Macaca fascicularis: one gene and its partners. The protein of the gene in region 3 binds, or shares a complex with, the protein of the main gene of each other region. Links are inferred from orthologs where the notes say so. Each region holds a gene or a part of one and is shown on either strand. Other genes may lie near its edges.

Region 1 (3,282 bases), on a different chromosome or scaffold from region 3:
TGCAGCCTGAGCTCCACCCTCCCCTCTTCTTGCGGCACCGCCCACCCACACCCCGTCTGCCCCTTGACCCCACACGCCGGGGCTGGCCCTGCCCTCCCCCATGGCCGTCCCTGACTTCCCAGCTGGCAGCGCCTCCCAGAGGCGTTCGGGCTCCCGCCGCCTCGGGCCGCCTCCTCCAGACTCGAGAGGGCTGAGCCCCTCCTCTCCTCGTCCGGCCTGCAGCCCAGAACGGGCCTTCTCGGACGCTGGCTCGGGACTGTCTTCAACCCCGCCCTGCACCTTGGGCACGGGAAAGCGCCACCCGCCCGCCCCCGCCCTCGCTCCGGGTGCGTGACCGGCCCGCCACCTTGTACAGGACCAGCACTCCCAGGGCCCGAGCGCGTGCCTTCCCCGTGCGGCCCGTGCGCAGCCGCGCTCTGCCCCTCAGTCCCCAGGGTGCAGGCGCACATCGCCCACCCCCCACCTCCCGGTGTATGCAGTGGTGATGCCTAAAGGAATGTCACGCAGTTTTCGGTCTGTGTCGCTTGTTGACCCCGGCAGAGAGTGTAAAGGGAGGGCAAAGGCATGGGGGAAGCTTCGAGCGCTCCAGGCTGCCGCGGTCGCTCAGGCTTGGGCGGCAGCGGAGGGGCTCCCCGGGTCCGCAGGCGAGGCAGAGCCGTGGGGGTCGGGATCAGGGTTCCGGTCCGGCGGTCTCGGCGGGCGGAGGGCGGCGGTGCGGCAGCGGCGGCGGCGGCGCGCACGGCAGGCGGTGAGCCCGGAGCCTAGCACCAGGCAGGCGGCCAGGCTGACGAGGAAGGAGGCCGGCCCGAGCGCGTAGACCACGGCCAGGTCCCGCAGGGCGAGCGGCTGCGCGCAATGGCTAAACGCGGCGTCGGAAAAGGCAGTCAGGGGGCTGAGCGTCAGGCGTCCCGGCCACACGCAGAGCAGCGTCTCGGCCTCTGTGGGACACAGACAAGGGCGTGGCATCAGGCGGCAGCGGCCGCACCGCCCTGCAGACCCCAACCCGCATCCCTAACAGCTCACCTGACGCGGGCAGTGGGTGCCTGCGCAGCCAGGCGCAGAGCGGGCGCAGCGCGCACCCGCAGCCCCAGGGGTTGCCGCGCAGGTGCAGCGCGTCTAGGGCGGGCAGGCGGCCCAGCAGCCCCGGCGCGAGTGCCGCCAGCTCGTTGTCCTGCAGGCTGAGTGAGCGCAGCAGCGGGAGCGCGCCTAGCGCCGCGGGCTCCAGGCTAGCCAGTCGGTTGCCGGCCAGTGAGAGGTTGCGCAGCGCGCGCAGCGGCGCGAAGGTCCCTGGTGCCAGCGCTTCCAGCTGGTTGGCGCTCAGGTCCAGCAGCTGCAGCGCGCCCAGGCCCCAGAAGGCTCGCCCGTGCACCGAGCGTAGCCCATTCTCGCGCAGGTCCAGGCGCTGTAGCCCGCCCGCTCCCGCGAAGGCACCGGGCGGCAGCGCGCGGACGCGGTTATGGTCCAGCAGCAGCGCGCGCAGGCGCAGGCTCAGGCCTGCGGGCACGGCGGGCAGCGAGAGTGCCGAGCAGCTGGCCAGGCCGCCCGGCACGCACGTGCACACCTCGGGGCAGTCCGGGGCGCCCGGGGACCCCGAGGGCGAGGCTGTGGCCGACACCTGGGCCCAGACAGGCCAAGGCGACAGCAGCAGCAGCAGCAGCAGCAACGGCCGAGGCCGCGACCAAGAAGGGCTCCGCATGGGGGCAGCCCCGGCACCCGCGGTGAGAGGCCCGCTGCCTGCGTGTCCCCGGAGCGCGTCGTCCGCGGAGCCCTTTCCTGCGGCGCCTGCACAAATATTAACTCTGGCCCGAGCGCAGGCAGTTCCTGTCCCACGGCTGGATCCACGCTTGGGGCGGAGGCAAGGCAAACAGCCAACGCCCGGCACCGCCAGCCACCTGTCCCGGAGCTCCAAACTACTCTTGGCTTAGCGCCGGCCACAGCGCTATCAAGACCACCTCGCCCCGCCTTGTCCACCACCGGGCGCCCGCCGAGCCCTGAGCAACAGGACACCGCCCACCTGCACCCACCCAGCTCACGGCTGCGACAGGCTCCCGCACGCAATGCAACCCAGAGGTCCTACTCCTCACCCGTCTCGACCCCACCCAGGCTCAGCAAAGTGATGCCAACGTGCACACGCGGAGTGGCCCCCACGCAGGGATGGTCCCGTTCCCATGGTGGATGGGGCCTGGGTTGGAGACAGGCTTTGGGATGGAGGGAGACAGCACACCCCAGGCAGGAGAGGTGTGCCTGCCCCACCCCTCCCCCTAGGACTCTCCTGGACCGTCAGAAAAACAGACCAGTGCAGTGGGGCAGCGGTATCAGCCCAAGTCCTCCTGTTAAACCCAGCGCCCTTCGGAGTTGCCAGTTTCAGGTCCTGTTCTAGGGGCTTTCCAAAGCAGGGTGTAGGGAGGAGCCAGGCTGACCAGCTGTGGTAGAGAAGGTGGAAACATTATGGGTTTGGTTTCCTGCCCTGGGGCAGAGGAACAGGGGAACCTGGTGTGGGGCCTGGGTGCCCTGCTTTGATGAGACCCATATGCGTGTGCACCCCCCATGATGCAGCCTTGAGGGGTGTGAGAGCCTGCAGGGAGGACAGTACACAATCACTAAATACACTTTAATTCCCCTCCCCCAGCTGCCCTCAGCCCTACTCAGGTGGTAGGGGCGGGGGTGGCGGCGGCTCCTCTGGAGAAGCCTCCATGGGAATGGCCACAAGGCTCTGATCCTCTAGTGGCGGCATCATGGAGACCTCCAGGTCAGCGTCCATTAGCTGGGACTCCACATATACCGGGTGCAGGTCCATGCGATTTTCCTGGACCCCAAAATTCTCCATCAACCTGCATGACAGGGGCCAGGTCAGCACAAGCTGGTGGAGTCCTGATCCTCCAGGGCAGGCCAGTGTCTGGGACAGCGCAGTCCCACAAAGGGCCTCCCCTGGGACAGCACCCCTCCTCCTCCAGGGACTCCCTTGGGATAGCTTCCTGCGCCAAGGGCCTCCCCTAAGACAGCACACCCCACCCCAGGACCTCCCTTGAGACAGCGCACCCCCCTGGAGGGCCTCCCTGGTGCTCACCTGTTGTCCACTAGTCTCGGGCATGTTTCACTGAGGGGATGAAGACCGACATGAGTCCTGGAACAGTGTTGGGCCCCCGAACCTCCCCCAACACACGCCTAGGAAACACCATTCCTACCCCAGGTGACAGCCCACCCGGGGGTAAAGGCCCCTCTTGCAAGACCGAGGGCCCAGGGCAGGCAGCCTGGCCTCACTCCCATCCACTCCCGGCCCCG
Region 2 (4,224 bases), on a different chromosome or scaffold from region 3:
ATACTTTATAAAATGTATTTTGTTCAGGTAATTTTTCAAAACAACTGTTGCCAAGATCTGAACTGGCACTGGAAAAAAAAATGATTATTTTCAGGGGAGAGAGAGAGAGAAAGACAGGAGAAATCTTAGTATTACATAAAGCATTGTGATTGCTTCTAGGTAATTTAAAAATCAATGTTCCAATGATTTCATTTTACTTTTTCTGCCAGATCTTCAAACTGCCTGAAATCGTGAAGCAGTCTTTTCGTAATAAATTATAATGTGTCCATGTCTTGATTAGATATTAGCCATTTATTAATGTGTGTGCATATATATGTATATACAGATATGAAATTTATTAGTGCTTGAACCACTATCTTAAAATAATTAGCAGTGTTTCACCAACTATAACAACTTCTAAATGATGAACTGCCATAAAATTTCTAAATCATTACTACTGGTTGGCACTTACCTTTGACATTATTGATTTAATTCCAAAAAAAAAAAAAAATGATGTTTCTAAAACCCTGAGATTTCTTTTTAAATTCCTGAGCATTAAGAGGATCAAGTTACAACATTTGTCTTTGAGACGTTATCACTTCTTCAAGATCTTCAACAATATACTCCAAATTCTATATTCTTAGTCCTATATTTACTGCTTATATTATTGATACTTTTAAAGATAAATCAATATTCATCTGTCGACAGGAGCTTTTTTGGGGGGAGGGAGAAGTCATTCATATTTTTAAAAAGAAATTTTTTAAAAATAATTTGAGAAATTTTAAAAAATGTCTCAAATTCAAGAATTTACTGTTCAGGAGGTAAGACCACAAGTTTTATTGCAGAGTGATGGTAAGCTTGTTTTAAATACTACTACAATATTAATGTAGAATTTTTTTCTTTTGGATTAATACAAATATATCTTGTTACAGTTAATAAAGTGTTCCTGTGAACACAAGATTCATTCCCTTTTGGACTGTTTTTCTGCTTGATCCCTCAAAAAAAGGAAAAATGTCAGTAACTTTTAAAAAGATACATACCTTTACTTTGATAGTTAAGCAACAAGGAGAGTAGAAAAGATCAAGGGAAGTAAAAAAGGAACCAGAACCAGGTACACTACAAAGCTCAATTAGTTCACAGGCTAAGGACACTGCTTTTTATAAGTTATTTTTCTCCATTGGGAACAGTTTTCTGAGACTTCCTCTCTCTGCTCTCCATCCCGGGAGTCCTAACCAGGTTTTATCTTTTTTTTTTCTTCTGCTTTTTCTTCTTGTTTGCTTTCGAGACCAAAAGAAGTTGTCAGAGAAGTCATGTTAGGTACATTTCACTGAAGGTTTTCTATTTTCAGCAAGTTTTACTGTTCTCCAGACGGCTCCTGACTGTCCCTAAACACAAAGGGTAACTAGGCTCCCTGTAGACTCTTTTGAGAATCTATCTCATGAAAACTAGGAGCCCTCTGTACTTCCCAAAATGGACCCGCAATATTCCACATTTGATTCCAGGTCGTTTTGTCAAGCCACAAAAGCTTATCTTTGAACCCCAAGTTGAAAATGGCTGTGTAGAGCGAAAAGGTAAGGAACTCTCTCACAACTTTCGAGGGTCCCCTCAACCTTTCAAGGAAGGTCATTCCATCTGAGTTCTAGATGAGACCAACTGAAGCTCGAACCTTGACCATGAGCTGGAGTAGGTGGATCCCCGCTAACCACTGGCTTTAAATGGAGGAAAAGTTAACTTTCTTGGCTCCTTGCACTTCTTCAAACCCAGTCCGGTAGGCGCAGGACCCGGACTGGGTCGAGGCCTCAAAATCTGAGACCAGGCAAGACAGGTTTTAAAGTAAGCCTCTGGGCACCACTGTTCGCGGCGCGTAAGCCCACCTAAAAGACCGGTGCCCTCGGGCTCCCTGATGTACTCATTCCTGGTTTGAGTACAGCCTGCGCCACCTGGTCTCCTCCCAGCAATGCGAGCACTCGCCGAACCCTCCCCGCGCGGAGTCTAACACCGACGCTGCCTCCAAACCTCCCTCGCGGGAAGCCCCTGGGTGCACGGGGCGTTCTTACCTTGGGGTTGGTCAGGAGCTGGTGCTCGTCGCTGTGCAGCAGCGCCCTAGAGTTGGACTCAGAGTTGTTCACGTAGACCTGGACGCAGGGGTACTGTGAGGTGCCCCTGCAGTCGGCGCCACAGGTGAAGGTGCACTCGAACACCTCGCCGATCTGCTGCACCGACAGCACCGTGCAATTGGCCTCCGTGGCTTGCAGATCCTGCAGCGCGGGACTCAGCCAGCAGAAGCCGAAGATGAACAGCGACACGACGCCGGAGATGATGAGAAACAAGCCGAGCCGGATGCTCTTGTCCTCGGCTTCCGTGTACTCGTAAGCCACCCGGAGCTTCGCCATCGCCCCCCACTCTCGGCGGCTGGCGCGCTCCCCCCGCCCCCTCCCGCCCCCGGCGCCAAGCCCGACTGCCTCGGGCGGGAGGAGCCGCCGCCGCCACCGCCGCCGCCGCGCGACAGCAGGGGAGTGGGCGGCGAGGGGGAGCGCGCGAGAACAAAGGGGCCGAGGCCAGCGACGCCCCCGGCGGCGGCAGCGCCCCCCAGCCCCCCAGCCGCCGCCTGGGCCCCGCGGTGCAGCCGCCGCTTCAGAGCCTCCTGCACCCTCGGGCGCGGGGAGCGCACGGTCCGCTCCAGCTTCCAGCGCCCCCTGCCAGCCTCCGCCCCCGCACTCTCCCCGCCTCCCCCACCCCGCCTCCTCTCGTCGGGTGTCTCTCTGTCTCCATCGCCCGCTGGCCGCTTCTCCGCGGACTCGTCCGGCAGCTGCCCCAAGGCTAGGAGTGCCTGAGCTGGGGCGAGCCCGGGGGCTCCCCCGTGCAGGAGGAGGCTCCGCCCCGCCCCGTCCGCCGCCGACCCTGGCCCTTCCGCCCCGCCCCGCTTCGCCCCGCCCTGCCCGGGGGCGTCTCCTTTGGGCGAGGGGTTGACGGGCACAAGCGACAGCGGCGACTTGCAATTGGAATCTTCCCTGAGTCCCCTTAGAGGGACGTCCGAGATGAAAGATTAAGATCGATTTAGCTTAACCGGAGGGAAAGTTAAAAAATAATAATCAGAGGGGAGGGTGGAGTTCAAGTGGAGCGGCGGGAATCTTGAACTCTAAACGGGGACTGGTCACCTGCGGGCAGAGCGGCCAGGCTCCGGGCGCACCCCGGGAAGCGGGCACGCGTGGCGGTGTGGGAGGACACGGGCCGCCCGGGCCGGGCGGATCGAGGTGAAAGCCCCAGGCTAGCGGTGTGCGCTGGGAGGTCCCCGGGGACTACTCAACCGCAGGTCCCCATGCGACGGGCGGGCTGGCGCGCGGCGGTGCCAGAGGCGTGACCCAGCGGTGCCCACGCCGCCAGCGCCGCCGCCCCAGGGAGCGCGGTAACCGTCCAGTCCCAGGACCTGGGCCTCCTAACCGTCTTGGTGCAGACTCGCGCCCCCTGACCCTGCTGCGGCCGGGAGGGCTGCAGGATTGGAGTTAAACAGGCTGAGTCAGGTGGAGTTTGCTGTGGAGGCAACGTGCGTGGGGGCAGGAGGCTGGACAAAAGAAACTTGCTGCTCAGGTCCTCAGTGACCCTTGTGGCAACTTACGTCTCTGGCAGCCGGGTCGACCCCAACTTGATTTGCCCCCATGGCTGGGGCTGACTGAGACTAAAGGAAACAGGTGGAGAGCTTTGCAGCCTGGAAAGAAATACCACTTTTCCCATCAGAACTTGCTTCGGAGCTCCCAAGAACAGAATCGTTTATGTGGTTTCCCTCCTTAGGAGTCTTGCCACCCGTGACCCGCCCCAGGATTTGTAGATAAGCTTTCCAGGAGCGCTGTTTAAAGCGACAGCAGCAGGCAGGCCCACTCTGTTACAGGTACTGTTTCTAGACCTGTGTTCTGCTCTTAATACTTGCCGTTGCTCCCTCCAACCCCAATTACCTCCACCCCCAATTACCTCCACCCCAACTATGCTTCAGCCTCTATTCTTTTCGCGACCTTTTAAAAGTTGGAATTACCTTTTCCCAAACCACACTTTTATCATAAAATCAAACTTGAGACCTATTTATATCTACATTTCGAAGAATAAAATCAGAATATTGACTTCCTTGCAAACGACATAAACTTTTTGTGTTTGTAAGTCGCAAATGAATAAACTCTTAATTATGTTCCTGATGAATACGGAAACATGGAATCATGGAATTCTTGATTTCTCTTTCCTGGACTTCAAATGTTA
Region 3 (4,298 bases):
ACCTTTTAGGGAACTCTGTTGTCTGTTGGGGCCTGCACTATCCCCAGGTCAGGTCGTCCTGATCATCTCTGCCTACTCTCTCTTGGGCAGCCTCTGTTGCTAATAAGGAAAAAGGAGAGAAACCACCTGCTGCTGTCAGAGGCCACAGACTACCCACCGGCCTTCCTGACCCTGCCCTCCAGCCACACACGGAACATTGGGCACATAGGAAGCAGGGAGAAGAGCGAAGTAGAGGGTGGGTCGCTGTGTATATCCTGGCGTAGGGTCCTCCTCAGTTCCGAAGCCCGAGGGTCCTGGGGCGCTCAGTCTGTGGAATCCAGTTGACAGCTGGCACTCCTCCCCTACCCACTGGGGGCTCTTTTGGGAAAAAAACGGCCTGACCGGGGCTCCCCGCCATCCTCCCCGGGTACCCCACCGCTCTCGGCTGGGGGCGCAGCACCTTGGAGAGAGGCGCCTGGCCCTGCGCCTGGGCTGGGGGCGCTCTACCTGGCGCCCTGGGGGTCAGGGGCGCGTGCCGGGCCGCCGCCGAGGGGCCCTGCTCGCCCCTGCCCAGCCTGGAGCCCAGGCGAGCCAGCGCGGCGAGCCTCCTCCCCTCCCGCCTCGGGCGTCCTGAGCCCGCGCCCGCTCCAGTTGCTGCAGCTGCTGCTGCTGGCGGCTGCGGGGAGCGCGGGGCGCGCGCCGAAGAGGCTCGGGCGGCGAGGACGGGGACGAGGAGGAGTCGGAGGCGGCGAGGAGGAAGAGCGAGCGGAGGCCGAGGGGCTCAGCGGCGTGGCGACAGGACTCGGGGTCCGGGGAGCATGGGCTAGCAGGCGGCCACGGCCCGGTGGCCGGACGCGGTGAACCTGCTGCGGCCGGGCGCGCACTGGGGCGGGGAGCCCGAGCCGAGCGCAGCCGGGAGAGGAGGGCTGGCGCGGGGGCGCCAGGGCGGAGGGGGCCGATTATCCATTATTAACGAGTTGTCGCCTAATAAGCAGAGAGCGGCTCGTTAGCCGCGCAGGAGGCGCGCGGGGAAGGGGGGTCCCCGGCCGAGCGCAGCGCACACCCGTGGCGCACGGCGGGCGGCGCGGCGCCGAGGACACCCGGGCCCGCGCGCGGAGCCGGGGCGGGCCCGGGGGCGGCACAGACCCCGGGCGCGGGAGGCCCGCGGCGCCCCCTGGGTCTTGGAGCTCGGGGCCAGCGCAGCCCGGGGCTAGCGGGGCGCGGGCCGGGGAGGGGGAGCTGCCAGCGCTCTCCATCCCCCTCCCCCCCGGGCGGGCCGGCGGCCGGGGGGAGGGCTGGCGGCGGCGGCTCGCTGTATATATCTCGGCGCACCCCGCCAGGTCGCGCACAGCGCCCCGAGCCCAGGCGCCTCCCCGCCCCCCTCCCGCGCTCCGCGGCGGCGGCGGCGGCAGCAGTAGCAGCAATATGGCTGTTGATGGGTGTTTGGGGTGGCGCTGGCGGCGGGAGGAGCTCCCCCGAGCCCCTGCGCCGGCTGCCCGTTGCTAGCTATGGCAAATGGTGGCGGCGGCGGCGGCGGCAGCAGCGGCGGCGGCGGCGGCGGCGGAGGCAGCAGTCTTAGAATGAGTAGCAATATCCACGCGAACCATCTCAGCCTAGACGCGTCCTCCTCCTCCTCTTCCTCTTCTTCTTCTTCCTCCTCCTCTTCCTCCTCGTCCTCGGTCCACGAGCCCAAGATGGATGCGCTCATCATCCCGGTGACCATGGAGGTGCCGTGCGACAGCCGGGGCCAACGCATGTGGTGGGCTTTCCTGGCCTCCTCCATGGTTACTTTCTTCGGGGGCCTCTTCATCATCTTGCTCTGGCGGACGCTCAAGTACCTGTGGACCGTATGCTGCCACTGCGGGGGCAAGACCAAGGTAACGCGCGCCCCGGGCGCCCGCCCTCTGCGCCAGCCCCGCAGCTTCTCAGCGTCCCCTGCAGCCCACCTCCTCGCTCCGCGCCGCGCAGTGCCTCCCTCCATCCCCGCCTGCCTTCCCCTCGCCGCCTTCCCTTCCCTCGGCTCTCCCGGTGCTCTCGGATCGGGGCAGCGGGCGGCGCGCCGGGGGTGAGGAGTTGCCCCCAGCCGATGCGCTCCGGGACACGGACGCCCAATCCTGCCCTCTTGTTTATTGTAGGGTTGTTGGCGGCTGCGGCTGGGGCCGGGGTGGGGAACGCACAGTCTTGGGTGCCGTGGTGCGGGGTGGGGAGAGCCTACCCCTCGGGGACAGAGGGAGGTGGGGGCAGCTGGGTGCGTGTTCTACACCGCTCACCTGCCGGGGCTCGGCTCCTGGCGGTGGGCGAGAGGGAGGACATCCGCCCATACTTTAGGAACCTGTTGGGGAGATGAGTTCGTGGGGTCAGAAAGAAGGGAAAATCCTTTGGGCAAGGGAGAGAATAATTTTGCACAAGGGAATCCCAGGGGAGGAGCATGGCCCGAGATAGCAGGGGGACTTCGAGGGGCGAGAGAAGTTGGGGAGATCCATCCCAGTATTGGGGGCAGCCCATGGGGCTGCCACTTTCAGAATGTGTTGAGGTCGCATATCTGATGTAACCTCCCACTCCGTCCCTTAGGTGCTCTATTGGAACATACCCCAAGTTCTTCGGCCTCTGTTCCTTTGCCCCCAGGCCACCCACTTTGGGTCCCCGGAAATGCCACCAGCAGCGCGGAGCTGGAGCGGGGGTCCACCTGAGGCCGCGGTTTTACGCGGAGCTTCTTCCCTGGCGCTCAAGGTGGCTAGATGTCGTCGGCTTTAGCTATTCCTGGCGCAGACGCCCACCAGCACTGAGGCTGGCGACACCTTCGATGTATGGTTGCTAGGCTCACTGCCTGGTCTGTAGTCGTGTCCCTAGAGATGTCCTCCCTTCCCCACAGCTACTAGCTGGATTGGGGGGCCCGATGCTGTTTAATAGAAAACTGCAGAGTAAAAAAGAAAGAACTGGAAAAAAAGAGAGTGACCCAGCTGCCTTCTTTCTGAGTAATTCCCATCCTAGGAGACTTCACAGCACGAACCGTTTTGGAGGGAAGGGACATCCAAGGGAATAGTGCAGGGTAGACACACATTGCAGCCTCCACATGTTCACATATTTTCTAGTAAAGTTAAACTGAGGACCCCTCAAAGTTCCACAGGGCACAACAACTTGTAGCAGCCTCCTTAGCGGCTGAGAGAAGTAGGGAAGCCAGGGGCTATGGGTGAAGGCTGACTATGAAAACACCAGGGCGAATGGAGGCTCTCTCTCCTGATCATTAATTATACATCCTGTTGGGTGCTGGAGCTCAGCTGTGTTTTGTGGCAGCACATTTGTGTTTTGGAAAATACTGGTGTATTGGAACAAAGGGAGAAATATGAAAACCGTCATTCTCTTCGTCATTCTCTGACTTCTCCGGAGGCCTGCAGGTGTTGGCCGGAGAGTTTTCTTTGGAATTACCTTCTCAGTCGTAGAGGTTCTTTCTTATTTGTTAAGTGGGAAAACCTCTTACCTGCCAGAGAAGCCCTCAGGTTAAGCAAAGCCCTATACACCAGATCCCTGCCTAGCCTTCCTGCTGAGAACAGCTTATTCCTGGAGCCTTCAGATTCCCACATTCCCTCTCTCCATCCTTCTCCTCCACCTCCCCCAACAGTCTTGGGAATTTTGTTCCCCGGTTTACTGCGATTCAGCGACTGTCTTTAGAGGAAAGATAGCTCACAGTTGTGTGTGTCTGAAATGTTCCCTAGATGGAGTGATCTGGGTGAACTTTTTAACAGCTTGCTTTCTTTCAGGCAGTGGGCAATTTTGATCATAATGAAAACTTTTTCAATGATTCAAAATAAGTTGTGGTGTTTTTGTGATCCTGGGGTCCTAAACACAGCTTCCAAAATATTTTAACGCGAGGGAGTACATAAATGCAATTGCTGTGTCTGTAATGAAATGCTAATCCCATTGCACACACAAAGGATCTCCTAAATGATGAGCAAGCATAACTTCTGTCAGTTTACTCCAGAAAATAGGTTTTTGGCAACGATTAGAAAAAACAATTCATAAATATTTGGCTATATTTTGTAGCTCCAAGACCTGCTGAGTGGACATAAATGGAAGTTAGTTGCTATAAGAAGTCCGCCAGGGATGAGAGGTGATGGTTGTTGGTTCGGAAGATGTGAGGACAGTATAGAATGAGTGCAGGTTCCTTTTGATACCATGAGTCCATTTTAAAGCATGCCCAGAATCTCTTGATATCTGCCCCTAGATTCGCTCACTTAAGACATAGGTAGCCAGCTCATTATAAGCAATAATGGTAAGTTAAACCTTTTAAAAGCTTTTCTTTCTATGCTTGAGGTCTGTAA

The links. The genes of interacting proteins can lie anywhere in the genome.
Region 1: the proteins of KCNMA1 (region 3) and LRRC26 are in contact, whole or in part, in a cryo-EM structure (PDB 7YNZ), measured with the Homo sapiens proteins. The link is inferred for Macaca fascicularis from reciprocal best matches to the Homo sapiens genes KCNMA1 and LRRC26. Residues at the interface, in NP_001154824.1 of Homo sapiens: Pro78, Cys79, Asp80, Ser81, Arg82, Gln84, Trp88, Ala92, Ser93, Val96, Thr97, Glu155, Trp158, Met159, Ser161, Val162, Trp165, Cys206, Leu226, Leu227, Phe229, Gly230, Leu231, Phe233, Ile234, Asp251, Phe252, Pro256, Phe259, Val260; in NP_001013675.1 of Homo sapiens: Gly204, Cys205, Gly206, Cys207, Ala208, Arg236, Leu237, Ala249, Phe250, His252, Cys253, Ala254, Gln255, Leu257, Arg260, Asp261, Leu262, Val264, Val265, Tyr266, Leu268, Gly269, Pro270, Ser272, Phe273, Ser276, Leu277, Cys280, Leu281, Leu283.
Region 2: the proteins of KCNMA1 (region 3) and KCNMB4 are in contact, whole or in part, in a cryo-EM structure (PDB 6V22), measured with the Homo sapiens proteins. The link is inferred for Macaca fascicularis from reciprocal best matches to the Homo sapiens genes KCNMA1 and KCNMB4. Residues at the interface, in NP_001154824.1 of Homo sapiens: Phe98, Phe99, Leu102, Phe103, Leu106, Leu107, Arg109, Thr110, Tyr113, Leu114, Thr116, Val117, Asp238, Leu240, Trp241, Leu244, Pro327, Trp328, Asn330, Gln332, Leu367; in NP_055320.4 of Homo sapiens: Thr11, Glu12, Ala13, Glu14, Lys16, Ser17, Leu20, Leu24, Ile34, Phe35, Cys38, Trp39, His105, Thr164, His165, Val183, Leu186, Ile187, Leu190, Thr191, Ala194, Leu197, Ala198, Lys200, Ala201, Met204.

Annotation. Positions count from the first base shown.
Region 1 is NC_088389.1:2,146,462-2,149,743, reverse strand, and holds LRRC26 (leucine-rich repeat-containing protein 26), read right to left. Parts: upstream 1,802-3,282; 5' UTR 1,697-1,801; coding exon 1,024-1,696; intron 939-1,023; coding exon 604-938; 3' UTR 508-603; downstream 1-507. Other genes in the region: TMEM210 (transmembrane protein 210), read right to left, coding at 2,642-2,831, 3,068-3,097. UniProt on the Homo sapiens protein: Auxiliary protein of the large-conductance, voltage and calcium-activated potassium channel (BK alpha). Required for the conversion of BK alpha channels from a high-voltage to a low-voltage activated channel type in non-excitable cells.
Region 2 is NC_088385.1:77,096,441-77,100,664, reverse strand, and holds the start of KCNMB4 (calcium-activated potassium channel subunit beta-4), read right to left. Parts: upstream 2,808-4,224; 5' UTR 2,373-2,807; coding exon 2,037-2,372; intron 1-2,036. UniProt on the Homo sapiens protein: Regulatory subunit of the calcium activated potassium KCNMA1 (maxiK) channel. Modulates the calcium sensitivity and gating kinetics of KCNMA1, thereby contributing to KCNMA1 channel diversity.
Region 3 is NC_088383.1:68,824,868-68,829,165, forward strand, and holds the start of KCNMA1 (calcium-activated potassium channel subunit alpha-1), read left to right. Parts: upstream 1-1,487; coding exon 1,488-1,856; intron 1,857-2,114; coding exon of another isoform or gene 2,115-2,525; exon of another isoform or gene 2,526-2,544; intron 2,545-2,550; coding exon of another isoform or gene 2,551-2,797; exon of another isoform or gene 2,798-4,298. UniProt on the Homo sapiens protein: Potassium channel activated by both membrane depolarization or increase in cytosolic Ca(2+) that mediates export of K(+). It is also activated by the concentration of cytosolic Mg(2+).